4 linked regions of the Arabidopsis thaliana genome follow. The protein of the gene in region 3 interacts with the protein of the main gene of each other region in a pairwise test. Each region holds a gene or a part of one and is shown on either strand. Other genes may lie near its edges.

Region 1 (8,716 bases), on a different chromosome or scaffold from region 3:
TGCACAACCGATGGCTGCACTTGCTGGACATCTTTCCAGTAATAGTCTGTGACGACTTTGAATATCGAACCAGAGAACCCTTGGTTTACACCGTACACAAGGACCACACCTAGCACGAAGCTCAGGTTTAGCCTAGAACTCAGCATTTGTAACCATTGGAAGGGCTGAATTAGAACTGAGACGACAGCGTTTCTTCTTGCTTTTGTCTTGATCTCAGAATGATCTGAAATTGGTTTTAGGAGAGGTTTATCGTCTGAGAAGAATTTCTCAGTTTCTAGTGTTTCCATGGTGTTGACTGTTTAGGAGATGAACATTGGATCTGAAATCAAAATATCGAGAGCAAGAGCCTTTAATCGTTATTTTCAATGTAAAGGAAATGCCTTTTAGACTTTCAAAAAGGTTTAGACATTCACACACGAGGAAAAACAAAAGATATATTATAAAGTTTCCCACTTGACAATGACATTTACCTTGTTGACTTTGTAAGCAATGACGTCTTTCTTCAACTACCAGTCTGAAATTCTACAAAAACGAAACCAAATCGCTTTATTAGCCAAAATTCACAAACTCGATAGTATGATTGACAGATCTTGAAAGCAAAAAGAGAAAGTCAAATGTTTCATCTTCCCACCGAAACTCAAAAATCCTAATCAACATCAACAAACACCTAAACAATTACTTCAAAATCCAATTAAAAAATAGAGAAGGAAAGCGATATGCTGCTTCGTTGGAGGTCATTATCTTTGAGATTCCCACAAGCTAAAAAGACTACTATATATGACTAGAGAGTCATGGCTAGACACTAATCAGAAAAAAGAGAGAAAGAAAAGAAGAAGCAAAACAGAGAGAAAATGGCAGGATTGTTTGATAAACAAGCCGATCTATACCTTGACGCCAGACCTAATTACCCCTCTGAGTGGTTCTCGAAGCTCGCTGATCTCACCGATCACCACGGTTTAGCCTGGGATGCTGCCACCGGAAATGGCCAAGCAGCTCTCGCCGTCAGTATTTGATGCTCATAAATTTTTATAGAGCTTCAAACTTAGATTTAACAGATTTAGCTTCTTGCTCGTAAATGATCACAACAACATGCATCAGATCTTGGATTTGACAAATTTCGCCTCCATTTTGCAGGTTGCAGAGCATTACGAGAGTGTCGTAGCAACGGACGTGAGTGAATCGCAGCTGAAGCTAGCAACGCCACATCCGAAAATCAATTATCGCCATACGCCGACGTCAATGACCGACGACGAGCTAGTGGAATTAATCGGAGGAGAAAACTCAGTGGATCTAATCACGGTCGCCCAAGGCGTACACTGGTTCGATCTCCCTAGGTTCTACTCAGTGGCCACACGACTCCTCCGTAAACCAGGCGGAATCATCGCTGTCTGGGGATACAACGACGTCATAGTGAGTCCAGAGTTCGACGCCGTCCAGTATCGGCTCCACGCCACAACGCTGCCGTTTTGGAAGTATCCGTACATTCAGCACATCTTCGATTCGTACGAAGCATTGCCGTTTCCTTTCGAAAATGTTGGGATGGGATCAGAAGGGGAGCCATTAAAGCTGGAGATGCCTAAAACGACGTCGTTTGAAGGGATCATAAGGATGTTTAAATCATGGTCGGCCATCGTCACGGCGAGAGAGAAAGGCGTCGAGTTGTTACCGGAGAGTTTGGTGAGAGAGCTTGAAACCGCTTGGGGAGGTTCTGATCTGGTTCGTTCCGTCGTTTACAAAGCTTTTATGATTGCAGGAAAAGTTAGAGTTTGATATCACCAAACCATGATTGATTGTTGTTCTCATTTGAGTTTATTTATAAAAATTGGTTATATTGCAAAAATTCTCAGAAAGTGTTGTTATTTGACAAATCAAACAAAATACACTCTATTACATATATTAAAATCTCTTTTGGTATGCAACAAAATAGAACCTAAAATGCAACAAAACCGATTTTAAAAAGAAAAATAAGATAAACTATGATCACCTTTTCTTCTTTGTTTCCTTAATCGCCATGATGATCATCATATCCTCTAATCGATCTTAACAGAGGAATAGATGAGCCTTGTGAACCAGAGACAAGCATAGAACCCTATTGTTCCTGTGAGCACAAAAAATGCGTAGGAGGCGATGAGCATGTACCCAAAGTAAAGCATCGCAGAGACCAGTTTGGTGATCTGAAGCTTTGTGAAGAAGTAGAACGTGGCATAGAGGAAGAGGTAGAGAGCTGATGAGCCTGATGTGAGGTATGATCTCCACCACCAAAGGTAGTCCTCACTGCAAAGCTGGAAGTAGCAGAGTACTACGGTTATCTCGGCGCAAGTCACAATGAGGATTACAAAGACGAGGAAGAGGAACCCAAAGATGTAGTAGAACTGGTTGAGCCAGATGGATGTGAGGATGAAGAAGAGCTCGATGAAGACTGCACCAAACGGTAAGATTCCTCCAATGAGGATTGAGAAAACCGGGTTCATGTACCAAGCTTGCTCTGGGATTTGCCTCGGGATTTTGTTGGTTTTCACTGGGTCATCAGCCGCTGGCTTCTTGAACCCAATGTAACCCCCAACAAAGACGAGAGGAACTGAGATGCCAAACCAGAGGAAGATCAAGGCGAACATTGTTCCAAAGGGGACAGCCCCAGATGACTTCTGTCCCCAGATGAGAGCGTTTAGGACAAAGAAGATTGCTGACACAACTGCAGGAAACAAGAAGGCTGTTCTGAAAGCGATTCTCTTCCACTCTGTTCCTTTGAACATTTTGTAGAGACGTGAAGAGGCGTAACCAGCAAAGAGTCCCATGAAGACCCAGAGCAAGAGCATTGCAGTCATCAGACCACCCCGATTGGAAGGGGAGAGAAATCCGAGCATGGCGAAGATCATTGTGACAAATACCATGCCTAGACACTGGACCCCTGTTCCAACATAGACGCAGAGCAGATCAGAATTGGTAGGAAGTCTGAAAACATCACCATGGACAAGCTTCCATCCTGTCTCTTCTTGAGCTTCTTCTTGAGTCTCGAGCTCGTTGTATCGTGAAATGTCACGGTAAAGGGTCCTCAGCATTATCATTGCCACCATACCAGATAGGAATAGGACGATCATCAGAGAATTGACGATAGAGAACCAGTGGATTTGGTTATCACTCATCAGAAGATAAGTATCCCATCTAGATGCCCACTTCACTTCACTTTCCTGGACAGAAACAGAAGAGGAAATCAGAAAAACTATTGAAAACAAGAATTCATGAAATTTTTTTAAGACACAAACCGCAGATTACTTAAGAAAAAACTTGCCTGGAAATCGACGTCATATGTGAAGATAATCTCCTTCTTTTGTTCAACTTCTTGAGGGGTAGCCGAGCTAACGACCAGGCGTTTCGTGTGAGGATCACAAGTCGTCAGACGGGTCTTCTCACTCCACTCTCCCTCATACTCATGCTTCACACTACAAATCAACGGAGGGAATATCAGTTCTGAATGACAGGGGATCCCAAGAGACATTCAAATTATGAACAAGAACTGCACCTGTAAGGTTTAACCTCAAATCCCACGATTCTTGCAGCATCAGTTTGGATATCTCTGTGATAGCGGACTGTAAATGCCAAGTGATTGTGCATAAAGAACTTCTGCTCTTTGCTCTGCGTATGCAAAAACAAAATTAGAAAATCGAACGATCTAGCATGAATTCCATTTAGTGTCTTAACAATTAAAACCTACTTACCCCCTCGTACTGGCCTTTAAGACCAACATGATAACCAAGCTGATAAACAACAGAGGGAGAACCCTGGTCGACTCTTTCAATTGGAACAACCAGAGGAAGGTTGTCGAGGATCCTAACACAGACCAGAAACACTTATAATAAAACTGACAGAGAAAAGCATGTTCTTCATACAAATAATCAAAGAAAAGTGCCTGTATTTGGTCTTACATGTTGACCCGGTACTCATCATCGATCTTTTCTTTAAACGCTTTAGCTGTCTTGGCATCAAGAGTGACCCGGCCGAGAATATTGCACATTTGTGCCTCCCGCATTTTAAACTGCAATTGTTTCAGCCCCGCAAGGGTTAGAGTTAAATCACAGACATAATATTTTTGACAGCCTGATGAATTACAAAATTAAAAATTGAATACGAGACTAACCGAGTATGGGGCATTCTCAATCCGGTCACCCCGAAGCACTTCTCCAAGATTCTCAGTACTGTCCACAATCTTGCTAGGGCGACAAAAAGGAAGGGAGTAATACGAGTATGGAAGCTGAGTCTTTATGGAAGTTAATTTATTCACTTTCACCTTCAGCTCATCACCCTGCAACATACAAGAAAACAAGACTCAAAATTTGAATATGATTTTGAAGTGAAACATGCAAGTCTACTTTGATTGAGACTCGTCATATAACATGCAGGACCGACATTGCCCTTGTACCCATAACTTGGATTTCGTAGTAATGGCAAGCGAATCAAGAGCGAGAGATCACTAAGAACCTAACAAAGGTAATCAAAATTACAGCGAATAAGGCTAATCCAGAAGAATAAATATCGATATAGCTCGCCTAAGACGCTACATTGTTCAGATCGAGAGATTAGTGAAGCGGAAATGAAGTGAAATCACCAATTCTATTAGAAAAATAGCTAAACCAAAAGTCGGTGCATCAGCACTCCAACTCTCACTATCTCTAGCTTTCTCGGGAATCAAGAACGGATTAATCCTAGCGGAAATCGAAACGCAGATCCAGGAGATCCAAATCAGATCTAAAAGCCTAGAAGCACAAATTCGAAACGTTTTTACCTTCTCGAAATCCTGAGGAGCAACACCTGGGAGATAGAATGAGTGAGCTCCATGGATGAAGAGCAGAAAAATCAAAGCGATCGCGCATCCAGAAGATTCCAATATTCTTCTACTGCTCCTCAGAAACTCCATAGCCATGGCTGTTCCACACGAAGGAAGAAAATAACCAGATCTGAAGCTACGCTACAGTTGTATTTGACTCTTATACGCTTCGAGACTCGAGACCAAGACCCGCCTCTAATTGTGATTTAATACTTCCCGGTTTATTTTTCCGGTTTGGCTCGTTTATGTTTGATCCTTATCAACCATTAATAATTCACCACGTCACTACGCATGAAGTCTTTCTACGAGCTATAAGCCTACATAACCAATGGGCCTAACTCGATAAGCCCACCCTAGGATAAACCAATCCGATAAACCATGATTAATTAAAGTCAATCAAGATTTTTAAGCATTTGCTATACATTTTTAAGATTGTGTTAAAATGTGGTCTCAATATAATCGATAGAGAGAAAATGGGCGACGCCGCCGGAGGCTTGAGATCTGAAACGCAAGATGTGACCATGACGGACCTAGGAGAGAAAGGTCATTCTCCGGGAGACCCTCCTGATGCACCGGGTTCGTGGGTGAAGAAAGTGGTGGGGGGACATTTAGGTGGTATCCTAAATCCGAATGATATCTTAGATGATGAGTTTGTGTCTGAGCAAATGACACTGGAGTTCCCTGATGGTGAGGATGGAGAACCAGTGATAACAATTGGCAGTGAGGTATTGGCGGCGATGAATGGTTTGTTGAAGAACAGCTTGATCGTGAAAGTGCCCGGGCGTAACATGACAATATCAGCATTAAGTAGAAAGCTTCGAGAGATGTGGAAACCACGAGGAGCAATGTCTGTTGTGGATCTCCCTCGTAAGTTTTTCATGATTCGGTTCGAAGCGGAGGAGGAATACATGGCAGCGTTGACAGGAGGTCCATGGAGGGCGTTTGATCGCTATCTCATGGTGCAAGCTTGGTCACCGGAGTTTGATCCCTTGAGAGACGATATTGTGACCACACCATAATCGATTTGATTTGAAGAAAATCTATCGTTTTATATTTTGCCTTGGTTTACTTGTTTGTATTCAAAGAATTGGTTTACTTGTTAAGATATTTTTCATGGTCCAAAGACACGGAAACTTTGTACCGAAATCAAATTTTCAAAGTAATTCTATTATTTCATAACACACATGGATACTTGACGCAAGATTTGATAACAAAAACAAACATCATATCTTTCATAAAGAGATCAGAGTTTTTGGTTTTATTCTCTTGCTAAGTAAGCGCAAGAAGAGAAGCAGCACAAGGCCTTAGTTTTGACAAGTTAAACAACGAAACAACACAAAACATCAAACACAACAACAACAACAATAACAACGAGGACTGCATATTTACACTGATCTGGAAGCTTTTCAGATTCAGCAGCACAAGACCAGACGACACAACAGGGAACTCTTTTCTTTCCATTATTCAAGATCTAGTAACCTCCCTGAATATACGCATTTAGGCGTTGAAGCTCCTCTCTATGCTCATGAACCACTGCACGGACAACATCTCCTATGGACACCATTCCAATCATGCCCTTGTCTTTGATTACCGGAATATGCCTGATTCGGTTATCTGTACATTACAAAAACACAAACCCGCATTTTTATTTGCTTCAGTAGGTTTTAAACCCAAAAGCTTGTATCTTTAGTGGAAAAATATCAAGTTGTCTGCTTACCTGTCATCAGTTGCATAGCACGCAAGACCTTGGTCTCCGGTGTCACAGTGATAAGCTTATTCTGCAATTGCCAGTTCACAGATCCAGTCAGTTTCAATCCACAAAAGCAAAAAAAAAATCGTACAATCGTGCATTTACATACCTCTTCAGTCATAATGTCTCCAACTTTTGTTGATTTGGATGATCTCCCTTGCACAATGATCTTCCGTAGATAATCTAGAGAAATCACAATGCCGAAAAGTGAATCACACATACCACAAGACACAACAAAAAAATTATTAATGATTAGATCTAATTTTACCTCTCTCTGTAATGATACCAGCAAGAGCTTGTTGCTCACCAGGTTTCACAACCACCAAGGCACCAACATTGTGTTGTGTCATCTAAACAAAATCAAACACAATCAATTCCAAATCCACATCGAGATATCTAAAAAAGGAAAAAGAGAGTAGTATAAGCATACGGATTTAACAGCATCATAAACAGTGTCATCAGTAGTACACCAAAGCCAAGATCCATCAGCACTTTTGCCTTTGGATTTCATGACATCGGAAATAGTTGTGCTCTCGAATCCAGATTCCTCCATACGTGCAGGTTGAGTTGATTCAGAGCGTGAACAAAACACAGAAGGCTGAATCGCCGGGTTAATCACACGGAGATGTTGCAGCACAGAGCCTTTCACAACATTTCCACCGGAGACGAAGGATCGAATCACACCTTGCATCTTTCAACTGTCAACAACCAAATAATCAGTTCCTCAAAACGAGATCTATAAAATCAAGAGCTAAAAGAACGAGTCTAATGAAACTAGATCGAAAAGAGAATGATCCTAATTCTTAAACCGAGTGTATTTGATCAACAAATCCTAAAATGGAAAGTTTCCTCAATCAGATTCAGTAAAAAGCATCAGAGATAGTGAAGAAGGAGAGATTCAGACCTGAGATTAGAGAAGAAGAAGAGATCGTAGTGGAGCTTGAGGTTGAGCTTGAAAACCCTAGAGAATGGGGAAGAGACAGCTGACCAGAGAGAGTTGAGTGGAGAGTTTTTTGAAGGGTTCTCTAATGGATAATCATCAAATATATAAATAAACGATTTTCGATAGCGAAATACTGGCGACTTTTTTCTTTTCCTTAAAATATCTTACAAAATTTAAAATAGTGATGACTGTGTTGCTTCATTCAATTATTCTATCATATCCTGACAAATATCAACAGGCCCACTTAAAAACTTAAGGCCCACTTTAACAGGGCCAGATTTGGATACAAATAATATTCAATCGAGACGACGTAGAAGATACTCAACCTCAACGAGCTTAGTGAGAGGGATAAGCCATTCCCCGTAGATGCGAGAGGCAAGCAATGGATCCACTTTATACTTCTTCTTACTCTCATCGCCATAGCCAGAGTTGAATTTTACTTCTTGTCCAAACGTTTCTGCTTTCTTCTGCACTCTCTTCTTAACCATTTCTTCTACTTTCTCAAACGTCAACAGCTTCATCAAAGCCTCTCTATCCTACAGTCGAAAATCAAACGATTATGGTGTGAATCATATCATTTTAAAACCACAGTGAAACAGAATCCACAATGTGACACTAAGTTTACCTGAGCGCGAATCGCAGGCTCGTAATCTTGTGGAGCATCTCTGAATTTGACCTCAGCTACAAATTTACCGTAGTGAATCCTTCTCGAAAGAGCCTTACACAAGATCAAACATATCAGATCAGACATCATTAGCCAAAAGTAGAGCTGATTTTGTTATGTATACTCAATCATCTCCTTACTTGTAAACAGGCGAGATCACTAGCAGCAGTTGATGGATAGTTGCCATCATCGCCAGGTTTGACAAACAAAGGAAGCAATTCTTTAAAGTAAATATCCCAGATTTGTTTGTTAATGTTAACAGATAGAGCCTTAGGGTGCAAAGCCTAATCAAGAGAAAGAAAAGTACTGTTAGACTAAAGCATTCAGAGTTCTAAGAAAAATGCTCAAGACTTTACTACATACATACCGATGGATATTTGTGCGTAGGAAAAACCGAGTGAGGAATGTTCTCAAGGAAGAAAGGATTCTCTTCCGGGTATTCATATCTTCCTACCTATATAATATACACATACACATAAGGTTTTCAAGTAAACCAATGAACAAACATATAGGCTCAATATCCAGAAACTTAAGAAT
Region 2 (7,283 bases), on a different chromosome or scaffold from region 3:
ATGTGGAGACAAATGGGAAGTGGAATTAGATCAATGTCATGAACCATATGAAGAAGATAGAGAAAAGAAAAAAGGAAGGAGAGGAAGAAAGAAGAAAACGGAACAAGAGTAACCAAAATGGCTATGTTTAACAAATGATAGTTATATAAATAGAAGGAAGTAAAAAAACAGAATTAATGAAGGAGATAAATAGAGATATATATATATATACATGAGATATATATTATGTAAAATCTTATGAAAGAACATAATAAATTCGATGTGATCAAAGTGTTTAATTTATCTCTCTGAGTAGGGCCACATGGAGGGAGATATTGAGATCGGACAGCTATGAAACAGCTGTCTTGAGAAGTGAGGCTAAAGGTCTCAACGGTATAACTGGAAATTCTCCTCCACTGGTTTTTTTCTTTTTAATCTATGTAAAGAGATTTGGAGGAGGAATCAAGCAAGCACGTGTTCTTGTGACCTTTCTTTTGTTGAATGGTTAATACGTTTCTTTCTTATGAATGGTTTTTCGATAGGTTCATGTAAATGCAATATCTCGTATTTGTTGCAAATCATATGTGTCAATTAATAATTTTGGTACATGTAAACCTACGTCAAGCAAGTACAATGAATACATGAGTTAATAGCACACAGTATCATCTATATATAGAATAATAGAATTAAGTCGAGTTGATAAACATGACTTAATTTATTGGAAAACAAATCCGACGACTTAGCTTATTTATCACATATCTTTCACCATGGTAATGGATTATCTTGTTACCATCACTGCTATGAGGAGGGCTAAACAATGCATGGAGAAAGTAGGGTAGTGGACGAGTGGAGAGAGAGTGAAGAGTATAATGTTGATGTGTGAGTCCATGTGATTTGTTTTCTGTACTCTTTTTTTCCCCTCTATATTTGCTTTGTCCCAGACCACACCCACATGTAGGACACTTGCTACTTTTTTTTTCTCTCTTAAATCGTATAATTTTGGATATTTTGTCTGTCCAATTTTTTACTTTTCCGGATCGATAGGAATATTTAACGGAATCTATATTTTTTTGTTTTGTTGAAATGTTAAAATTATAAATCAAACTTGAGAAAGTTATATGTACATGTATTTACGGAATATATAGTCAGTGAATTATTTCTCTAAATGTGTGTCGGACAGTAATCTCATAGAAATATTTTCATGATTATCAAAACCAAACGATTTTGTTTTAAAGGAGGAAATCACACATCATCTGTTATGTCATTTCCAAATAATTCCTTCAAGATCATCATCCCTAATATAACCATTAGCATCTTCAGTTTACAAATATCTTAGCGACCAACCTCTAGCTAAACTCCATGAGCTACTCAAGTTTTTCTTTTACCTCTAAGTCTGTCCTTAACAGTGTGAAGAAGTTCCATCGCCTTGTCTAGTACATAAGCTTTAAGTTTCACCTTTCGACCTAACAGTGTGAAGAAGTTCTTTTACCTTCAAGTTGCACTGGGGACTTGATTCATACAACATACGTTGACATCAGGCTACCATTGCTAGTTCTTGTTTCGAGAGAGAAGCGGCCTATTTACGATTCAATACACATCCATGGAGGTAATATATTACAGCTAAATTTGAAGCTTTATGACAGAATCATGCATTTGCTCTGTATGTGTTTACCTGTGACACTCTTTGTGTTAAGGCTTGGCATATTGCTGTTTATGTTTTAGTAGAATGAAAATTCTTACAGAATCTGCACTGGCGAAATCTTGGTCTGCTTCACTCGTTAGAGGTGACCTTAAACTAAACTATGTGACTAGTTTTCCGTTGAGAAGTGAAGAAAGCAGCTGTCGAAGTGCAACTCAAGAAAATGGAGGTAAAATAAACTTAGCAATAGAGAGCTGATACTGTTTCAATGTGATTGAGAACAATGAGAAGTGAAGTGTTTGTGAATTTGTTTCACTGCAGGAGGAACTAGAGAAGAAGAAAGCAGGAGTATGCAGAGAGGATGAATTAGGTTTCAGTGACTCACAAGGAAGCAGAAGAAAGAAGTGCAATGATTGAAGGTAAGCGTGGAGAAGCAAGAAGAAACGGCTGCTAAAATACTGGGCCATTAGAATTGTTCCAAAGGCAACTTGTGGATGTTTCCAATCTTGAGTTTACAAATCATTTTTTCAGGATTTTTTAACTGTAAATTTCTCTCTTCTCTTCAATGGCTTGTAATGTTTTTTGTATATTGATTTTGTCTGTGAGAAACAAACAAGAGTTCATTTTCATAAAACCTTATATCAGTCGAATAATTCACCATGAGATCATTCAAATTGTGAATCCATCCATTTTCTAGAAAATCTGCAGATCATGTGACTATCTTACTTGTGATAAGACTCATCGGTACCTACTATGGTCTGAGGATCTGAAGGCTTAATAAACATGAAGACCAAGACAATTATGTAACTAGGAACAAACAATCTCACACTGAATAAGTATAGCTAGTAATGACACTTGACATATGTGGCTTTAACACTCAGGTTCCACGTAAAAGCTTCACAAAAGTATAATACAAGTTCCAGGGAGTTAGTTAGCTGATCTATTAATGGGAGGTACATTCTTCAGCAGATAGCGTCGTCTCTTAGACCGAGCACGACTCCTAAGCATCCATAAGATCACTAAGAAACCGATAAAAACCATCTGAAGAGCGAAAACAAGCTTCATACCTGGAAACAACAACAACAACAATTGTTTTTGTATCAGTTTGCTAGACAATCAAACAAAACAAATAAGCTTCCCAAGAAAAGTTGCAAAACCTTGTAGATTCTTGACCATGTCCTGAAGATTTCCTATAGTATAAAACTCCTTTGGATGAGGCGTTGAACCGAGTTGCAAGTGTATAGATTTAAGGTTGGCTCTAGGTTTGTAGATGTAGTTAACGTTACCACCCATTATACAAGTGTTGGGACAATGAATGCTACTTTCGTACTCGTCGCTTCCATCGCAGCAATCTGAGAAACAGACAATGTCATGCTGCTTATCCAATCCAACAAAAACATGTAGATTACTAGCATACAGCAAGAGACAGCTGAAACGAGAATCATTTAGTCGAATTCAGAACATTAGTAACTACTGACCACAGATTCGATCATTCACACGAGAAGAGTAAACGAACTTTGGAGAACTTCCAATGTTCCTACAGTAAAATTTGCCATTTGGACATGCCGAAGTTCCTGTAATGCAAAATCAGAAATTCAGAAACTTACTCACAAGAACACATTTTTCATAATTGAAATTGTGAAAGAGAATAAGATTCGATCAATTCTAGTCCTAAATCTTTTTATCTGGAAAGAATTTAAAGTCTCATGTCATCTCAGCTCTCTGGATTCTAAATTGAGAAAAAAGTGTGTACCAGGCTCATCGGTGCCGTCGAGACAATCGCAGAAGTTGTCGTTGAGACGATCTCTTGTGAAAGATTTGGAGCCATCTTTGCATTTGATAACATCTGAGTCGAAATACTTTTCATCTGCCTCACAACAAAGAAGTAAGTAAGAATCAGAGAACAAGAACATTTTTCAGATTTGTCGATATAATAAAGATAAGAGTCATCGAAGAAGTAACCTAAAGGGTGAACACCAACGAGGGGAGAGGTCGAAGCGACGGAGATGACGACGACGGCGAGTGACGAACACAACACGACGCATTGCAGCAGCATCCGTTGACTCGCATTTGGTTAAACCGACGTCGTTTTAAGATTCGAGTGGATTATTCCGACCAGATTCTCTCTTTACGATTTCGGCTTTTAAGTTTCAAGTTAAGAATAAGTGGAGTGGCCAGATATTTGATTCGATGGGCTTTGAATTATATTGGGCTTTGAGTTTTCATTTAATACTACAGTGTTCAGTATTCGACTATTAAGAAAAGAAAAAAAATCTACAATTCAGGTTATTATTAAAACTTGATTTAATTCTTGATTAATAAACTAAATTAATTTGATTATTTTAGTTTGGTTCATTTTTTCTTCTAAGTTTTTTTTTCAATGTGAATCAAAACTCTTACTCAAACGTTCTTAAATTGTGTTTGTACTACGGAGTCCCATCACCTCTTGGCTCTTGTTCAAGAGCAAAAAGTTGAGAAACATCCAAGCCTTCAAGAATGAGACCATCAACACCATTTTGAAATCAAGTAATGGCTGGAGAAGGCATAACAACTTGAACAGAAGAAGTTTGAACCACGAGTGAAAGAAGTGTAATTCGAAAGACTTCAAGTCACGGTTATTTGCGGTTAGCTGGTAATGAAGAATGAACCACTCTAAGAAGCAACCAACTTCTACAACATAAAACAGTTGTGAGCCGTTGTGATTTTGTAGTTAAGTTGACTGCTTTTCTTCTTATATACCTTCTTCTCTAGACTATGTCCATTTTATCTCACAAGTGATTTTTCACAAGACATTAGATCCCACGAGTCATAAGTAACACACAGAGCCAACACTTAGCACCTAAACCATTAACCTAAACAACTTTTAGTTCCTCCTTCTAGTTCTCCCTCTAAAAATCATGGACTCGGACAAGAATAGACCAACAAGACTGACTTCTCCATTATTACCCTTTTGCATCTCCTATTCATTTGTCCTAGTCTGGTCCATACACCCAAAGCAATGGACCTCAAAATATGATAAAAAAATGTGACAATACAAGTCTATTTCTTACTAACCAGTAAACCAAACCAAAGAATTTCAAATTAGAGCAACCTAAGCCTCATCCTCCTCTGTTCAAGTTGTTGTTGTTGTTCTTGCCTTCATTCTTTTCTGAGATTCTCTGAGATATGCTTCAGCTTTTCTACCTTTTAAAAGTTCCCTGAAAACCTTTGTCACAGTGGTTTGTTCTACACCATGAATCTCCTTCATGAAATTGATCATCTCAGGAAGAGTGTAGAAATTTTCACAGCAGAACAAGTAGCTATCTCTCACTTTCTCCTCTTCCTTGCTCAAAACAGGTTGACTACTTTGCTGTTCATTTACGACACAAATTGTATGAATCAGTGAGAATTAGTGAATTACAAATACGTAAAATCAAATACATAATTCATCAGCCAGAATTTTGAATTACTTGTGCTTCAGTAGTCGTCGTAACACACTTTCCCTCTGATTTCTCTGCTTCAAACGAGCTACCAGAATTTTTCGCCATTACTCTCTCTGTTGGTGATTTGCTTGTAATTTAGGGTTTAAAGAGAACAAGGATGCTCTTGTCGTCTGCTGTCTCCCTTTTTCTAGCCCAATTTTATAAACGGCCCAGTAAAGCCCAATTACATAATCTGAGAGCATTAGTGACTTGTATTGGTTTCAAGTTTCATTCACACACACACGTAGATAAGAATTGGAATAAAGAATCAATGGTGTTGCAAATGTACCTTTGAAATATGAATACACCACTTCGTTAACAAAATCCTTGTGGTTTTAAAGGAGAAAAATAAAATGCAAAAATTTACAAACCCATCTACGATTCTATCAAGAAAAAGGGCAAAGACCAGACTTGTCCATATTAACACAACACATCAAAGATCCTATCTCTTCATAATACAGTCAGAAAGAAAAAAAAAAAGAAAACAGAGGTGGCGATGGCTCTTTTGTAGAATGCTGGAGACAACTTGGAGCTATTGTTGCAGGAGTCTTGAGTTAGATTACCAATAGCTAACTTCACTCCTTACGACCTTTGGTTGGAGGAGAGGGTTTGTCTGAAGCCACTTTAAACTGTCCCATCTTCTTCTGCAGATCAGCCAGAGGGTCTTTTGAAATCTTTCCCTTAGGACTCTTCTTTCCATTTCCTACTTTAAGTTCTAGGCGATATAACGCACATGCGTCAGATTCATTGATTTGGTATTCAAAGAGATGCCACTCAAAGGGACCTGGAGGTTGTGGATCCATATAGTAAGATCTCTTCTGGCCTTCTTGTTCCTTCATCAGTTGTTTTCTTGATTCATGCCAACCTCTTCCACTGTAATCTGGAAGTGATCTTTGCTTTCGGTTTCCGCTATCATATGCTCTTCTAGGTTTGTCAAAGAAGAGCCACTCTCTAATTGTTTCGCCTTCAACCAGTTCAAGATGAAATAGCTCTGCAAGTACAAAAAATTAAGGGTCAGGCAAAAGTAAGAAACTCACATAAGGCTTCTGTTTTCAAAGAGGCAACGAAATGTTGAACTAAAACAAAGAGAGAAGCAAAACTGGGCTCTAGTGGGACAATGCTCTCACCTGCTGCGTTCCATGGGCATTTTGTGTTAACAGCTCCTTCACACACTGGGATCCCAACATTCTTACCCTGAGTCTTTGCACGAAGAGCATCAATCAATAGATTATCTTTCAAACTGATGCCCCCTGGCCTCAATACAGGTGCTGTGCCAGGCGAATCTTCATTCAGAGCTAGAGTCCCATGGTAGTTACTGCAGTAATCCAGGTACCACTCGGAGCCCTGAGCAGGCCTTGTGCAATCCCATAGTGCACACTTAGGTCCCAGAAAAGCAGATGGAGGCACACGGACACTTGATGGAGTAGAAAATTCAGCAAAGTTGTCAATCTCTTCAGAAGAATCAAGCTTAGTGGAAGGGCTGTTATCTAGTTCCTGACGCACTTCGGAGAAAATATAATCATACTGAGAAGTTATATCCAAGTTGCTGCTGAGTTTTTGGTCATGGAAATCAGGAGCGGAGTTTATGCTTGGATCAAACCCTTCATATCCATAATGGAGTTGCTGGCCATGTGTTTCTGTGCTATTAAGAGCATCCTGAGATAGAAAAGGTGAACTTGTACATAAGGAAACAAAATCAAAACTAAGACAAGAATGAAAAAGATCAAAACTCATAGCTGAACTGGAATAAAGAATCAACGGTGTTCAAATGTCTAGGAACATCTAACCAACAATCAAAAGATTATAGAAGACAATTTTGACGCAGAAACTGTATCTAGCTCACCTCAAAGCCGCAGGAGAAATTTCCGTTGAAAGGACTTTGACTAAAATTCTCAGATGTCCATTCAGGAGGGCACAAGCTTTGAGAAAAACCCTCAGGATCAGGCTTTGCTCCAGCATGTTCTTTTAGCGTACTAGTTGCATCATCCTCCTCGTCTAATTTCAACAGAGGAGCAAACTCCTCAAGGAATTGGCTAATACCTTCACCCTGCAACATGTTAAAGACCAAAAGAGCTAAATCTCAACCAAGCTTACAGATTCACTATTTTTCAAAGAATTGGAACCATAAACCATAGAGAAGTATGGTAATGGAGTAGGACGAACCAACAGAGAAGATTCAGGAGAAGGAGCAGTGAGTTCAGCTT
Region 3 (7,268 bases):
CGGCGTTTGGACGGAAGATGAGCCAGAGGATAAGAGCGGCGACTCCGAGGATTACGGCTACAGCTATGAGGATGTTGCAGATCAGGCTTAAGATGCAGCAACCGCAGCAACGTAGACAGCTTCCGAGGCAGCTGAAGCAACAGCATCCGAATCCAGGTGAGTTATAGCTGCGGTGAGCCTTAGGCGGTGGTGGAATTGATGGTCCGTAGTACGCGCCGTTTAGGTATGGTTGTTTGGACCCCATGTTGTTCGACGAATTGCCTCAGAGAGAAATTCAAAACAGAGGTTTCAGAATTCGAATTTGTTTAGCCTAAGAATAAAAATGGCTCAGTGAAGAAGAATAAGAAGATTATATAGATAGAGAAAGAGATAAATTCTGCTTTTAATGAAACGCGTTTTATTTTTAATTAAGGAAACGAATTCAAAACGACGCGAATATTTGATTTTGTTGGTCTGATTTGGTTAATGAATGAAGGATTTGGTCAAGGAAAATTAATTGTGACCATTATTTGCTATTTTGTTGTTGTTATTGATAGATAACCAAGATCGGTTATACTTAACCAACGGTTTAATTTTTTGAAAAAGAAGTGCCGTTACGTTTTGAATGTGGTCAGAGCTTTTTCAGCAATCGAGAAGCATTTCAAATGTAAAGGTTTAATAATTAAACGTCTAGCCACTATTGTTACTAAAAAGAAACAATTTATTTAGTGTGCAGCTCCATAAAACTAGGTTTAAGTAGGCGTTATTTTCAAGTTTGTTTCTCAATGCTAAGGAAGAAAGTAGGAATATGTAAAATGTGATGAGTGATATCCCAAATTGTAGAAGGCTTATCCCAAATTCGGCCCAACATAAAATAGTGTAGCCCGTTAGTAGACGAACATAAAGACGCTACTAAAACCCTAGTTTCATGGAACTACACTAAATATAGTCATGAACACATAAACTCAAAATGTCTAAGATAGAGATCATAATTATTAACATTTTTAAAACACTTAATTTGTTTGAATGAAGAATTATATTACAAATAGTTGATCAGTATTATTTTGAGATAGATCCACTGCATATGTAATCAATATTGATTCATTCCAAATATGCATGCACTGATGCACGCACTATTGATCAATGATCAACTATCTAAAGTTTCCGTTGTTGTAAATTATTTTTAAGTTAGGTAGCAAAGGCCATTTTTCAGAAAATTATGTGAGTTTGGCTGAGCATTACTCGGACGTTCTAGTGCCTTTGTGTGAACAGCACACACAGCACGTTCATAACCACTTTATTTTTATTGAAAATCAAAGGAAATCCAAAGTTAGGTTTCTCAACTTTATTTGAGATAGAAGTATGGAACGTTGCTTATATACTACTATATATCATGTGACTGATATCCAAAGTCTTATTGGTGACTGACTTTTTTCGTCTAACGTTTCTTATATTATTTTCATTCCCAACTTAGATAATAAGTTTTAAAGGACCATATTCCCCTTTAATTTCTTTGGTCAATTTCATGGACCACATTATAAGTTAAATGAATGGAAATGCAGATAAACGAGAAATAAGTCTCTAGACCGGATTCTGATTTTCACAATTCAAGATCCAAGAATATTCACGGTAATCCAAGAATATCCACGATAATATCCACGATAATATCCACGGATTCTAAATTCTTGTAAGTAACGTTATGTATTAACTTTATTTCAATGTAGCAAAACTCTAGGAGAATGGGCTTTTAAAGTGCACGAAAAACATTTTTTTAAGCCAGACACCAACAAATAGAACTTATCTATAAATCCATAGATGTGACTAAAAATAATCCAATCCACAAAATTTATCTTTTTGAAATGTCTTATTTGTTGTAGAATAGTCTCTATATAAAATGCATCTCTCTATTTAATTTAATAAAAAGATGGAGACAAATGGACAATGACACCATCACACAACGTCCACAAAACATTAACGAGCCTAATCTATTCAACTAAAAATTAATCTCCATCGCCATCAAACTTTACCATATACATAAGAAAAAGTCATCAAAAGTCGATTTGACAGGATCAGAAGATGCATCAAAATCAGCAAAAAAAATACTTCGAAAAAATCATCACAACTTATAATAGAATTTAGAATTCAACTATAATAAAAAAAAAGTATACATATTGAAATTCTTAAAATTCGTTACAACATCACGAATCTGTAATATTTGCTATTCGTATAAGCAAAATGTACAATTCACATCACTAAGACAGATTACTTAACGAAGACGTTTAGTTACCTTATTTTTCTTCGTCGCCGTTTCACACACTAACACTACAACTAGTGGTAAACGTATACTTAACGGCGTTGTCTCCGACGATAACTCCGTTAGCTTTGTTACCGAAGTTTATATATGCTGGACACTTCACATGAAGATGATACTTCCCGGTGATAAAAGTCCCAACCTTCCACCTCACTCTACCATCAGCACGAATGATCAACAAAACGACACCGTTATCTTTATCGGTGTCAAGACTAACGCCGTTAAAAGGAGCGATGGGAACGGAGGTTCCGTAAACAAACGGCGACCAGATGTCGACATCTTTGTGTCCCTGATACGTGGGAGGGATTGATGTTGGGAAAGTGATTTGTTGGCTCCGGTAAGTAGCGTAGACGTCAAGCCGGTCGTAGTAAATGCCGATTTTGTTGTTAGGGTTCCGGGAAGAGAGAGTGATTTGGAAGTTGGAGGTGAGGAGGTTCGGTGGATTGCCGGAGACGTTGAAGGCGTAGACGGTGGCGTCTTGGAGGATGAAGCGTGGCTTTGATGGTTGGAGAATTGCCCAAATGAGGAGGATTGTTAGGAAGATGATGAAGAGGACGAAGATTATTGACCAAAATATTCGCCTTATTAGTTTCCGGCGAGAGTGGCCGTGGTTTTCACAGTCTTTCATGGTGGTTGTTTTTTTTCTTTCTCCGACGGTGAGTGGTGGTGGTGGGGAGAAGGTGGAGAAGTTGTTAAGAGATTTTTTGTTTTAGTGATGGCTCTAAATAATGGGCTAATTATATGTAGGATTTATAGGAGTGTGATAGGGAAATAAAGGTATTCTCATATTATAAACTATAATAATTCTCCCTAATATTAAAGGTATTCTTTAAAAAAAAAAATTGTAATCAAAACAAAGACCCTTTTAAAGAAACAAGTATTCTACATTTTTATTTTCCATTTAATCACAACAATATATTTTTAAAAATCATGCTAACCTTCTTACATAAAATTTATGTTGTGATATATTTATTGTTAACTGTCATTTTGTATTCTCTATAATTCATTTTGTTTTTTTCCTACATTTATATAAATGTTGAAAATTTATGAATGCGTGATTGATGTGGTCGGTGCAAGTGTTCTTTAGAAAGGTGACTTTATGTGTGGTCGAAGAATTTTTCATCGGCTCCCCTCCAACCATAATAAGCAATTCAACTAGCTAGTTATAATTTCACTTTCAGCTTCACGATATATAAAAAATTCATTATCAGTAGATTCTCTAGTGTGAAATCAAACTACATATATAGTAACTTGCTTGTTTCAAACAGTAATTTGTGTTTGTTAAATTTGATTTTTCCATGATCATGGAACTCGGATTTGTACCATCCCTCAAAATAAAAAGTTCAGAAATTTGGAGCTGTCACATGGGTAAATGAGTTTTCACTACAAATTATTAGTCCATTTGTGATACGAATTTATAGACCAATCTAACTTTTTATTTATTTAATGATCATATATTGCGTATACATGTGTGGATTAATAATTTGATAGAGATTGAAAGAAAGTTCAATTTATCCACGTAATTTCCAATACAGAAAAAGAGGACGTAAGTGACCTAACACTAGTTGCCAAAGCAGAAACCACCACTTTTTCCATCATTTTCCTTGTCGTGTTACGTTGATTAACTACTCTAAATATTCTGTAATTTTGGAGAGAAAGTATTAGACGGGGCACTAATTTCTCTATCGGTATCGGTCGACATATATTTGGTCTAGTCGTGATTAAAGTAGTTTTCGAAATTTTAGACAATAGCGATATTAATAGGGAGGGTTCTTTTCATCTTTGGCGTAAAAAAAGGGGAATAGCTTGAATTCGTGAAACAAAAGAACAAAATCACGAAAACGGCCTTCATAGTTCATATTTTTGCCAATATAGTTATTTTATATATCATCAAATACGCTTCGTATTGATATTTTACAAAAAGACATCTAATAATAATCTACCCTTTCTATTAACAAACAAACGACCTACAACAACTGTAAAAGTAAAAAAGGATAACAATAACGTAGTGGTTTAATAAGTCACAAGCAATAACTGGGTGGCCTATGGGGAAATATCTACCAGCCGAAGATTGGCTTGTGAACGTGAGGTGGTACGAGATTCAGATCCTTGCAATGTTGATTATCATAGTCTTTTGTTCTTGGTGTTGCTCCAGTGCATAGTCTCAAGAAATCGTTCCCTGTTAGAACATAGTGTGAGAATGCCAATCCTCCATCGACCACCTCGTTAAAGCTCGGAACCGATCTTGATTTTCGCATCTTCCTTCCTCCCTCTCCATTGTTTAAGATCTTATCGAGATCTGAATACTCCATGAACCTCTGTGTTGCTGCTTCCCAAGAGAGATTGTACATTTGTTCAGGAGTGAGAGGTAGTGGCTCTTTCGTCATTGCTTCTTGCACTTTGGACACAAAGTCTTCGGATGTTTTGTAAGTTAAGCAGTTCGGGAATGATCTAAAGAATTCGTTTGAAGGGTGATCTGCACACACCACAAACTTCCCCATGGCTAGTGCTTCTGCGGTTGCTGTGCATAGAACATCGCTGATGCTGGGGTTTATGAACACTTTGTACCTTCATCAAGATGTGGGAAAGACAATCAAAGAGCGAAACCTTAACAAGTTTTTAAAAGCAAAGCACATTTTTCAGAACTTACTTGTGAAGAGCATCGTCAGCGTGGTCCCTTCCTTTGAGGAAATTGAGATTCAAGTCATGTTTCTTTGCTGCACGTTGGACCTCGACTGCATCTTCACCGTTCCCATATACATCTAGATTGAAGCTCCCAAGTTCGCTTTTGTGTTTAGCCATCAGATCTATTAGTTCTCTGTATCCTTTAGCCCACACCATTTTTCCTAAGAAGTATGCACCTTTTGAGAAAGCTTGTTCACCACGGGATCTCTCTTCAGCAATTTTCTCCCCAATCATAAGGAACTTGGGATTGACACCATGGACATTGCATACAACAGACTTTGGTAAATCTTGTGTTGCCGCAGAGAGGCGAAGAACCTTTCATGAGTAGAAAATATGTATTAGCTCGTGTACTATTTATTAGTAAAGAGGATTCAAGCAACAGAACAAGGCTTGAAGAAATAGAGTAGATGATTCACCTTGTCACAATACGCTCGTGTGACCCAATTGTTTACATGGTTCACAAAAAATGCTTGAAGAGCTCCATTCTTCTCCCTCTTGATGTACTCTAAGTAGTTTGTGTGGACAATTCCAACAACATGGTTGAATTTATCAGTCCAACGCTTGCCGTGATAATACCAGTTGAGATGTTCAGGTTCTTCAAGTATAGCAATGTCAGCATCTTTTGACGATATAAATTGAGAAGTGTCACCAGCAGGAAATATGCTGCGCCTTTCTTTTGAAAACTATAAGAAACCAGAAAGCTCAGTTACTCTATAGAAATAATTGAAAAACATATTGGCAGCCATAGAAATAAAAAAATAGAATCCAAAATGATCAACATACCTTTCCTGGGTAAAAGGAGATTTTAAAATCAGCCTTGAAACCAATCCTTTCCTCCAACCATTTACGTATATAACTCTCTTGTTCTTCAGGTGAGCTGAAGGTGAGATTGTTTGGATACACTAGTTCTTGATCAGATTCGCAGAGCCAAGGAACCACGAGAGTAACACTCTGTTTTGCAGCTTTTGCCAAATACGCCGCTCTGAATAGCGGATTTACAGCTGTTCCGGTCATCCAAGGAAGACTAGCTGTTGTAACAATTGCCACATGCCTTTTGTTTTCCGGTGTCTCAGGCTTCACAAAATCAGTCCAAAACCCACCATCATAATGGTGTCCTGTGCTTTGAAGAACACTGGCTATCCTCATATCCAAATCAACTCCATGGTTATCATTTTCAATTAAATCGGATGCTTGTGCAGATGGCAGACGCCAAAGTTGTTGGCTCTTGCATTTGCAAAGGCTTTCTACTATTCGGTCACATGTATCTGAAAGAAAATTCAGCAGAACAGAATCAGGAACTTTGTATGTAAACACTGAAACTATAAGATAATGTACAAGAAAGGGTGTTTAAAACCAATAACCTACACATCTAGAAATTTTTATGTCTACGGCAGATGTCATTTGATTGATCTGTCTCATACAGAATCTAGACTTACACATATTTGATATCCAGGATTAGTGTGATAATGCAGAACATCAAATCTCACCATCTAAACTTCTGGTGAAGCAAGCAACCCACTTAACAAAGACACTCTAATATCAGAGAGAAGATTCAAACTTTTGACGGAAAAACCACCTATGGTAGAGAAACAACTCAATACATACAACAGACAAAATAATTAACCATCATGAAGAGAAAAATGCAATCTTACCCTTTCTAACACCAATCTGATCAAGAAAAGGTTCAGATTGTCTAACCAAACATGCCAACAGTTCAGGTACATCCAACGGAGGGACATCCTGCACCAAAGTAAAAGGAGGCCAAGTTAAACTCCCAATCCAACACTGAACTCGACCTAAAAATATATAAAGTAACAAGAAAAACTGATAGAGCTCCAACTTCCAAATACCAACCTTAGCCTCATCAGTTTCTTTGTAAATTGATTTCTGCAAATAAAACAAAAGAAAAAAGCACCATTAGAAAAGTTGCCAAACACCATAAGAAACTCAATCAATCATTCCAAGAACAGTAACTATCAAGTCAGCATACGAAAATGTCGTGGCTATTGAAAGAGAAGCCACTTCTACAGTAAGATAGAAGAAACTTTTGAAATAGGTTCCCAAAAAGTTGGAGAAACTTACAAAGCTGGTTTTGAGCTTCTCAACAAATTCACTGTTCTTGAATCCACTCAATATTTCTAACGAGCTTCGTTTCTCAAACTCTTTAAATCTACTCTTCAAAGACCTAATCGGTTCCCAATCACCGAAATAAGCTTCTCCATCTCTCTCAGCCTCCGCGAAAAACTCCGTAAACCTAACCCTATCACTATTACGCCGTCTCCTCAATCTACTC
Region 4 (6,913 bases), on a different chromosome or scaffold from region 3:
CAAAGAAGCAATCCATGACAAGTCTCTCTATGTTCATGTTTCATGCAAAGCATATAACACACACACACACACTGACACACATATATGTATATATATTGATATTAGTATATGTAAAAGCATACACAGATATACATGCACAAATACTACTAGGCAGTGACTTAAATGGTATAAAAGCCTCTGTATGCTTATTACCCTATAGAGATATATCTCATTTGTGAGAACTAAACCTACATTTGTCAGAGCTAATTAATAATACATATAATATTTGCATCAAAATTTAATTTAAAAAGGATACTCAAAACTCAAAAGCAATTTTCAAGTTTTCAATTAGTTTTGAAAGCCAGAAACGTAAAATCAGTGTACTAATCAGAAATTCTCATTCCCAGATACATATCACATCCCAGATTTTTCTCTCAATTAATAACTCCATAAACTACGGATCTGATTCGCATAAGATTTGGTCTTGATGGTTTCAAAACACAGTTGGTTAGATATACTCTAGATTATACAAATTAAGCAGGAACAAAAGAAAAGAATAACTTCCATGTTTTGTGGCTCCATGTCTTGTTGAGTACAAGAAAATCAATAAAGACGCATGTTAGGCTACATACACAAAGAAACCTTTGTAGATCTGCATCTAGGGTTAGAGTATTTTTCTTTCTCTTTGACATATTTTAGGAAAAGAAAATTAAATAACCAATTTCATGATATCTAGCTCAGAATATATGTTTTTGAGACAAAACACTATAGTAGATCTGCATCTAGGGTTAAAGATTCAAGGGTCTTTTGACATGTTTTTGGTAAAGAAATTGAAAACTTATTACATGATTTTGGCCATGGAATATTTTTGAGACAAAGAAACTTTAGATTAAAAAGAGAGCAAAATTACCTCATGCTTAGCATCCCATAGTTTCTTGCCAGATAACTTCTGGTATTGGTCCAACATAGCACCAAGATCCATGGAAGGACAACAGTAATCAATCATCTTACCATTACTTGCAAAGATTATGAGGGCAACTTTTGCATCACAAAGAACTGTGATCTCTTTAGCCTTCTTCACCAATCCATTCCTCCTCTTTGAGAACGTCACCACTCTGTTGTTTGCGTTCTCTATCCTCTTTATCTCGATCTTTCCTCTACCCATCTTTCTCTCTCTATCTCTTTCTCAATTTTAGGGTTTGCTATGAAATTGTTAAGATATGGAGGAGAGGATATGTGGTTTATATGAAGAACAAGAAGAGGAGCATTGGTTTTAAAGTAACATTGATGAGATAGAGAGAGAAATGTTTTGATTAATCTTGAGGTGAAGAGAGACTTTGACAGTTTGGGATTGAAAACAAAGCTACTTTCTTGAGGGCACAGTCATGGAAGGCTTGCTTTTGGTTCGCTTATTACACATAGCCAACTCTATTTTCTCTCCTTTTTTTACAGTACCAAGAAGATAAAAAAAAAACTTGAAGTAACGTAATAAAATAAAGTAAAAACAAACTTAGTGATTTTGCTTAATGAACACTCTTTGCATGTGATTGATGTTTATTTTCTTTCATTTGATTTGATCATCTCAGTCTCTCTCGTGATAGGTTAAAGTGTCGTTTAATTAACCTCTGGTCTCTTCCGTACTATGTTTTCTTCAATGAACTGTGTAGAGAAAACAAATTCTAGATATCTGGAAAGATAAAATTCTTCATATGAAATGTGGTCAAACTTTTATTTAGCTTACTCGTGTATGTATATAATTAATTAAATTTAAATTTGAGAGGCAAACATGATAATACCATAATTTCTTATCCAACCACATATATCATCAATTAATTACTTTGGGAAACTATCTTATTATGTCATCAATTATATAAAACGTGAAATAAGATAGTGTCCCAATGATTTTGCAACTAAATCATTTTGCAAATAAATTTCCCATTTTGTCTATCTCGAAAACTAACCATTAAATCAAATGAAAGCAACGAGTTTTGCAACTTTGTAGATTTAAAACCAAAAATCTCTGTAAAGAATTGCTTTTATTTTTACAGGTTCTTACTTTGGCAAAACCAAGACTTGCTATTTCAAGAACTCTATGTCATATATAGGTCTTATCGAATATCGTAGCTACACTAAAAAATCAAACATATTAAATTATTGAAAGTTGAAGATATCACATTGACAAATGAAGTAAATAAAATAAAGTTAAATTCAGATGGTTTAGAAAAAGGAAAAAAAAAAAAGAAAAAGGAGCAGTGTAATTACCAAAGACCTTGGTATAACCATTAGACTTTATCATGCTTACATTGTTATGGGGAAAATGTCTTTGGTTGTTGAAAACAAAACAAGTTTATGGTTTTCTTGATTCACGTCGATCAGACACGTGTCAATTTATTGTGGAATTTTGTGGTCTTATGTTTTGTACTTAGTACGGGCATACTTTTTGGCATTTTCTCGATTATCAAACTATAAAGCCAGAGATTAAAAATCTCCACACACAAAAAAAAAAAAAAAAAAAAAAAAAAGTTGTGAATTCAGGTGAGAAACGTATCCACTGAAACAAAAATACCATATTGTTGGTATATTGAATTAGTAGATAACCTATGTCTTTTTAATATTATTCTAACTTCGGTTCACAATCAGGTAATGTTTACTCGTTGATTGAAAATATTGAGAAGGCAAATTTTGTCTAATTATACATGAAAACTAGACAAATTGGATGAAGAAGATGACTAATTTTCATGAAATATGGTAATATATAGTAGTAATCTCAATGATATTGAAACCCACTCTTTATTTTGCAACCGAATAATCATATATTGAAACTCAATACTAATCACAAGTATAAGACGTTTATAATGACTTGAAAACAAGTCCTTATTCTCACAAATAATCAAATACATGACTATTTAAATAAGGAGAGTAAGGTAAAACAAATACATAACTAGGTTTCGAGTGTGACTCAAAAGAGAGCAACAACAGCAGAAACAAAAGCGACCAGAAAAGTAGCACCACCTAATGAGGAAGCGGCATTTCCAGCTGGAGTAGTGGTTCCGCTAGAGCCTGAAGGTGTTGTGGTCCCACCCGCAGTGGGAGGAGTGGTTCCTCCAGTACTTGGGGTTGATCCAGGTGCTGGGGTAGCACCGGCACCAGGAGTAGCACCTCCAGTTGCACCAGCAGCAACTACAGTGATGGAAAGTTTTTGACCAAAACGACAATGGTCACCGACGGTGCAGATAAAGTATTGTGGTCCAGTGGTGTTTAGCATAATTTTGACCGGAGGAACGGTCATGTGGCTAATGGGTTTCTCTTTCTCACAGTTTTCAAATGCAGCTTCTGATACAACTGCCACATCATGCCTCCCAGCAGCGAAATCAAATTCTGTAATAAGAATATCAACATCAGTCGGTGGAAACTCAATTAATCCCTTTTTTAGCTAAAATATGTTCATAAGAATATAGAAAGAAAGACAGAACAACACCGACATGATCCATGCACGATCCCATAACTATGACTGTTATAAGAACAAGAAAAACAAAGACATATTTCAGCTATAAGAACAATAAAACTCACCGAGCTCGTCGCCTACACGGAAAGTTTTACCGGTAGCCCAAGTAGTATAGAACTCGGGGTCCATAGGTCTCGTCCATTCCGTATCATCACCAACATCGTAGTCCTCCGCGAAGACAACAACGGCAGCGAAAACCAAAACAAGAAACGTAACCGTTTTGAAAACTCCGGCCATTATGTTATGTGTTGAAGAACTCAGGTCACCCCCTTTTCTTTTCTTGGTCGAGAACTATATATGTCGTCTCTTAAAAGATAGTAAATGACCCCTTTTGATTTTTGTGTTTGTTGTGGTTTCAAAAGTCTTGCAAGAGAGACTTATATTTATAGGACAATTAAAGAGAGGCTCTCAAGGAGTCATACGCAAGATACGGGAAGACGCGTTACGTGTTGTGTCGTTGAACAAATCCAAATTTAGATATTATCACTTGTGGTCAATTTTGTCTGCTAAGTTTTTTTTGTCCACAATTGTTATTTTTAGCGCGTAAAGACATTGTACATTTGTAAATTTAGATCAAGTAAAAAACGTGACTAATTACTTTTTGGGTAATGATTATAAAATTTAGTGTTCAGACTAAATATAACTACCTAATAATAACCATCCGATATTAAGGCATCGAAGAATAGTAGCATACTAATGTTAGAAAAAACAAAGTGTTAAATGTGGATATGGATGAGATATTAGGTGTTTATAGCATTTATATGGATAAGTCGATAATTGTTCAGAAATTTCTAGGCTCGATTGTCTTTCTTTGCATGGGTCCGTTGTACCAATTCAGGTCGTATTCAAGAAAAATCAACCCAACAAGTATATATACTTGCACGTAAACGAATGCGGTCATAACCCGAAACCAAAAGCGGTCAAACTCACTTCAGTTTTTGTTTGAGTTTAGATAGTTCAAAAAAGACCAATCGGGACTCAAGTGATTGGTCCGATTATAAACCCGAAATATCCATCCGCTAAAAAGGACTTGTCAGTGATTGGTTATTTCAGCTTCAATAGCAAAACCAAGCCTAACCAAATAAACAGGTTCAAGAACCTTCTTGCTCTAAACAAGAATCACTGTCTGAAACTTGTTTACTTGGACAGGTTCTTACATTATGTCCCATTTTCTTGCAGAACCCACAAGCATACGTTATTTTACCAACACCATCTTCCCCGGAATTTTCACCACTGCAACTAGGATTCACTCCGGTCGGCTTCCGGCATGTTCTGCTGTTGTGACCTCTCTCACCGCATATTCCACATTTGTGATACCTAGTGGAAATGCCTTTAGTGACTATTGATTTCGACTTAGGACAAGTTCTACGGTTGTGGCCTTTCCCGCCGCAACCCCGACATCTAAATTTTCTGTCCGCATTAGTGCCTAGTTCTGGACAGTAATGGCGTCTATGGCCTTCCTGTCCACAGTTCTTGCAGTAAAACTTAGTTCCTGAATCAATGAGAGAAAAATGGTTCTTTTACCATTTCATAGCTTGCACATGGAACTGTCACCACAAAAGGAAATCAAATCGAAACCTACATTTCTACACTTCGAATCAACATTATATCTCAACTTTAAGTGACAAGCCTCAACCTAATTCATCACAGTGATCTCACATTATTGGAGAATGTAAACAGATAAAGCTCAAGAAACAAAAGAGTACTACATGGACCTAAACTCTGAAATTCTACCAAGAAACTGAGACTTACCTTTCATAGATAGGCTTCTCTGTTCACGGTTTACAGGGTTACTGAAGAAAGCTTTCATAGATTCGGATGCATGCTTTCTAGCAGCTGGTGTTCCTTTAGCTTTCTAGAACACAACAACACTAAGCAGATTCAAGGGAAAAAAACAACAAAACTTGTTCCATGTTAATTTAGGATATAAAACAAAATGGAGTAGATTACAGACCTTAATTGCAGCTACTCTTTGAGCATGAAGCACTGGATCACGATGTATAATCTTCATGCGCTTACTAAAAAGTCCAGTTTTGGCATTGAGACTCTATAAAAACCATAATTTGGACTGACTATGACAATTTCCCATGGAGAGAGTAGAATAACATGAAGTGTATATGAATGAAACTAACTTTTAGAGATCGGCTGATCTTTTGTCCAACTTCAGGAGTTGGTGACTGATAAATCCGCTTCGATTTTCGCCTTTTACTGAACTTTATCTCTAAATTATCAACCTCATCATCCTCCTTTACTCTAAATGGAGAACTGTGGCAGAAAAAAATGAGGTTTATTAGTCAAACATTAAACAGAATTAAGACTTCAACTCTTGAATAACAACACTACCTGGATCTAGCTTTCTCCCAAGGTCGTTCATCGATTGATTCTTCCCATATGACACAATCCCCCAAACATCTGAGACAAGTCATTATGCCCTACACAAATTTAAGCAAAGTTTCTATAACAAGGAAAGACTTTTGTTACTCAAAAGTTTAAAGTAATTTAATACTTTTAAGTACCTTTCCTTTGCATTGAGGGCAGTCTAATCGCGACCTCTCGATTCCGCAATTTGAACATGAAGTATAACCTCTTCCCCTACAAGTTGGACAAGGAAGCTCTCGAATGTACTGACCGTTAGGACCAAACCATGACCTTGGTTCACGCGAATCACCAGATATGAACCTGAATAAACCATCACCAAAAGCACATTTTTGAAGCTTAGCCAAATTGTGGATCATGTATTTTACCAACTATCAAGTACACCGACTTGACCAAGTAACAATATGTATTCCTTACTTTTTTAAGATTTTCTTTTTCTTTTTAGGAAATTATTAAGAGTTTTTTTTTTCCTCAAACTTCAAAGAGTTTCCATTTTGGCATTTTTTTTTTTTTCCTATTAGTAGAGTGCTTTGCTTTTACGTTTTAGTATAAATAAAGATAGGGTCTCGATTATGAGACTCATACAAGCTAGAGAGAGCTTTGAGTTTTATACGTTTTGGGTTTCTTTGAGTCTTGCAATAAAGAGAGCTTTTCGTGGGGTTCTGTGTGACCGTGATTGTTAACTACCTGCAAATAAGAACTTGAGGAATGACTACCAGTAGGATTGAGTCACGTTTGATCGCGATAGAAAAGTACCACAAGGCCTTGCATGAAGAATTTATTGGGTTTCATAAGAGACAGAAAGAGATCCAGGATGCTATTTTGGAGTTTACAAGGATGGTTTCGGCTTCAAAATCGTCGCATTCTAAACAAGAATCTGCAACTGTCCTTGAGGAGGACATTGAGATGCCAAGTTTTGATGGAGACCATCTCTTCATATGGCTAGAAATCATTGAAGTTTACTTTACTTTGCAACTCGCTCCAGAGGTTTGCAAGGTAGACACTGCATTCAGGAGTATGGAAGGTGATGCTCTACTCTGGTTACAATGTCTA

Evidence for each region.
Region 1: the proteins of NHL1 (region 3) and EMP1 interact in a protein complementation assay, tested with the Arabidopsis thaliana proteins (one large-scale study listed by BioGRID).
Region 2: the proteins of NHL1 (region 3) and AT2G42390 interact in a protein complementation assay, tested with the Arabidopsis thaliana proteins (one large-scale study listed by BioGRID).
Region 4: the proteins of NHL1 (region 3) and BCB interact in a protein complementation assay, tested with the Arabidopsis thaliana proteins (one large-scale study listed by BioGRID).

What each region holds. Positions count from the first base shown.
Region 1 is NC_003076.8:3,422,880-3,431,595, forward strand, and holds EMP1 (Endomembrane protein 70 protein family), read right to left. Parts: upstream 5,019-8,716; 5' UTR 4,919-5,018; coding exon 4,781-4,918; intron 4,301-4,780; coding exon 4,136-4,300; intron 4,034-4,135; coding exon 3,924-4,033; intron 3,829-3,923; coding exon 3,717-3,828; intron 3,634-3,716; coding exon 3,521-3,633; intron 3,441-3,520; coding exon 3,290-3,440; intron 3,189-3,289; coding exon 2,031-3,188; 3' UTR 1,809-2,030; downstream 1-1,808. Other genes in the region: AT5G10820 (Major facilitator superfamily protein), read right to left, coding at 1-287; AT5G10830 (S-adenosyl-L-methionine-dependent methyltransferases superfamily protein), read left to right, coding at 852-1,001, 1,135-1,770; CBSX3 (Cystathionine beta-synthase (CBS) family protein), read right to left, coding at 6,294-6,436, 6,540-6,600, 6,682-6,755, 6,841-6,922, 7,003-7,263; CM2 (chorismate mutase 2), read right to left, coding at 7,812-8,051, 8,141-8,233, 8,320-8,463, 8,547-8,633.
Region 2 is NC_003071.7:17,648,836-17,656,118, forward strand, and holds AT2G42390 (kinase C substrate, heavy chain-like protein), read right to left. Parts: upstream 3,809-7,283; 5' UTR 3,675-3,808; coding exon 3,581-3,674; intron 3,486-3,580; coding exon 3,372-3,485; intron 3,193-3,371; coding exon 3,097-3,192; intron 2,971-3,096; coding exon 2,776-2,970; intron 2,686-2,775; coding exon 2,546-2,685; 3' UTR 2,271-2,545; downstream 1-2,270. Other genes in the region: AT2G42395 (uncharacterized protein), read right to left, coding at 4,731-4,967, 5,068-5,145; VOZ2 (vascular plant one zinc finger protein 2), read right to left, coding at 5,655-6,070, 6,207-6,735, 6,923-7,126, 7,243-7,283.
Region 3 is NC_003074.8:3,676,743-3,684,010, forward strand, and holds NHL1 (NDR1/HIN1-like 1), read right to left. Parts: upstream 3,202-7,268; 5' UTR 2,919-3,201; coding exon 2,289-2,918; 3' UTR 1,853-2,288; downstream 1-1,852. Other genes in the region: NHL2 (NDR1/HIN1-like 2), read right to left, coding at 1-244; DGD1 (UDP-Glycosyltransferase superfamily protein), read right to left, coding at 4,348-4,858, 4,941-5,290, 5,392-5,658, 5,759-6,240, 6,628-6,715, 6,830-6,862, 7,058-7,268. UniProt on the Arabidopsis thaliana protein: May play a role in plant immunity.
Region 4 is NC_003076.8:6,823,434-6,830,346, reverse strand, and holds BCB (blue-copper-binding protein), read right to left. Parts: upstream 3,983-6,913; 5' UTR 3,722-3,982; coding exon 3,550-3,721; intron 3,358-3,549; coding exon 2,939-3,357; 3' UTR 2,599-2,938; downstream 1-2,598. Other genes in the region: PI (K-box region and MADS-box transcription factor family protein), read right to left, coding at 890-1,144; AT5G20220 (zinc knuckle (CCHC-type) family protein), read right to left, coding at 4,576-4,976, 5,237-5,339, 5,439-5,531, 5,617-5,749, 5,828-5,916, 6,001-6,163. UniProt on the Arabidopsis thaliana protein: Probably acts as an electron carrier.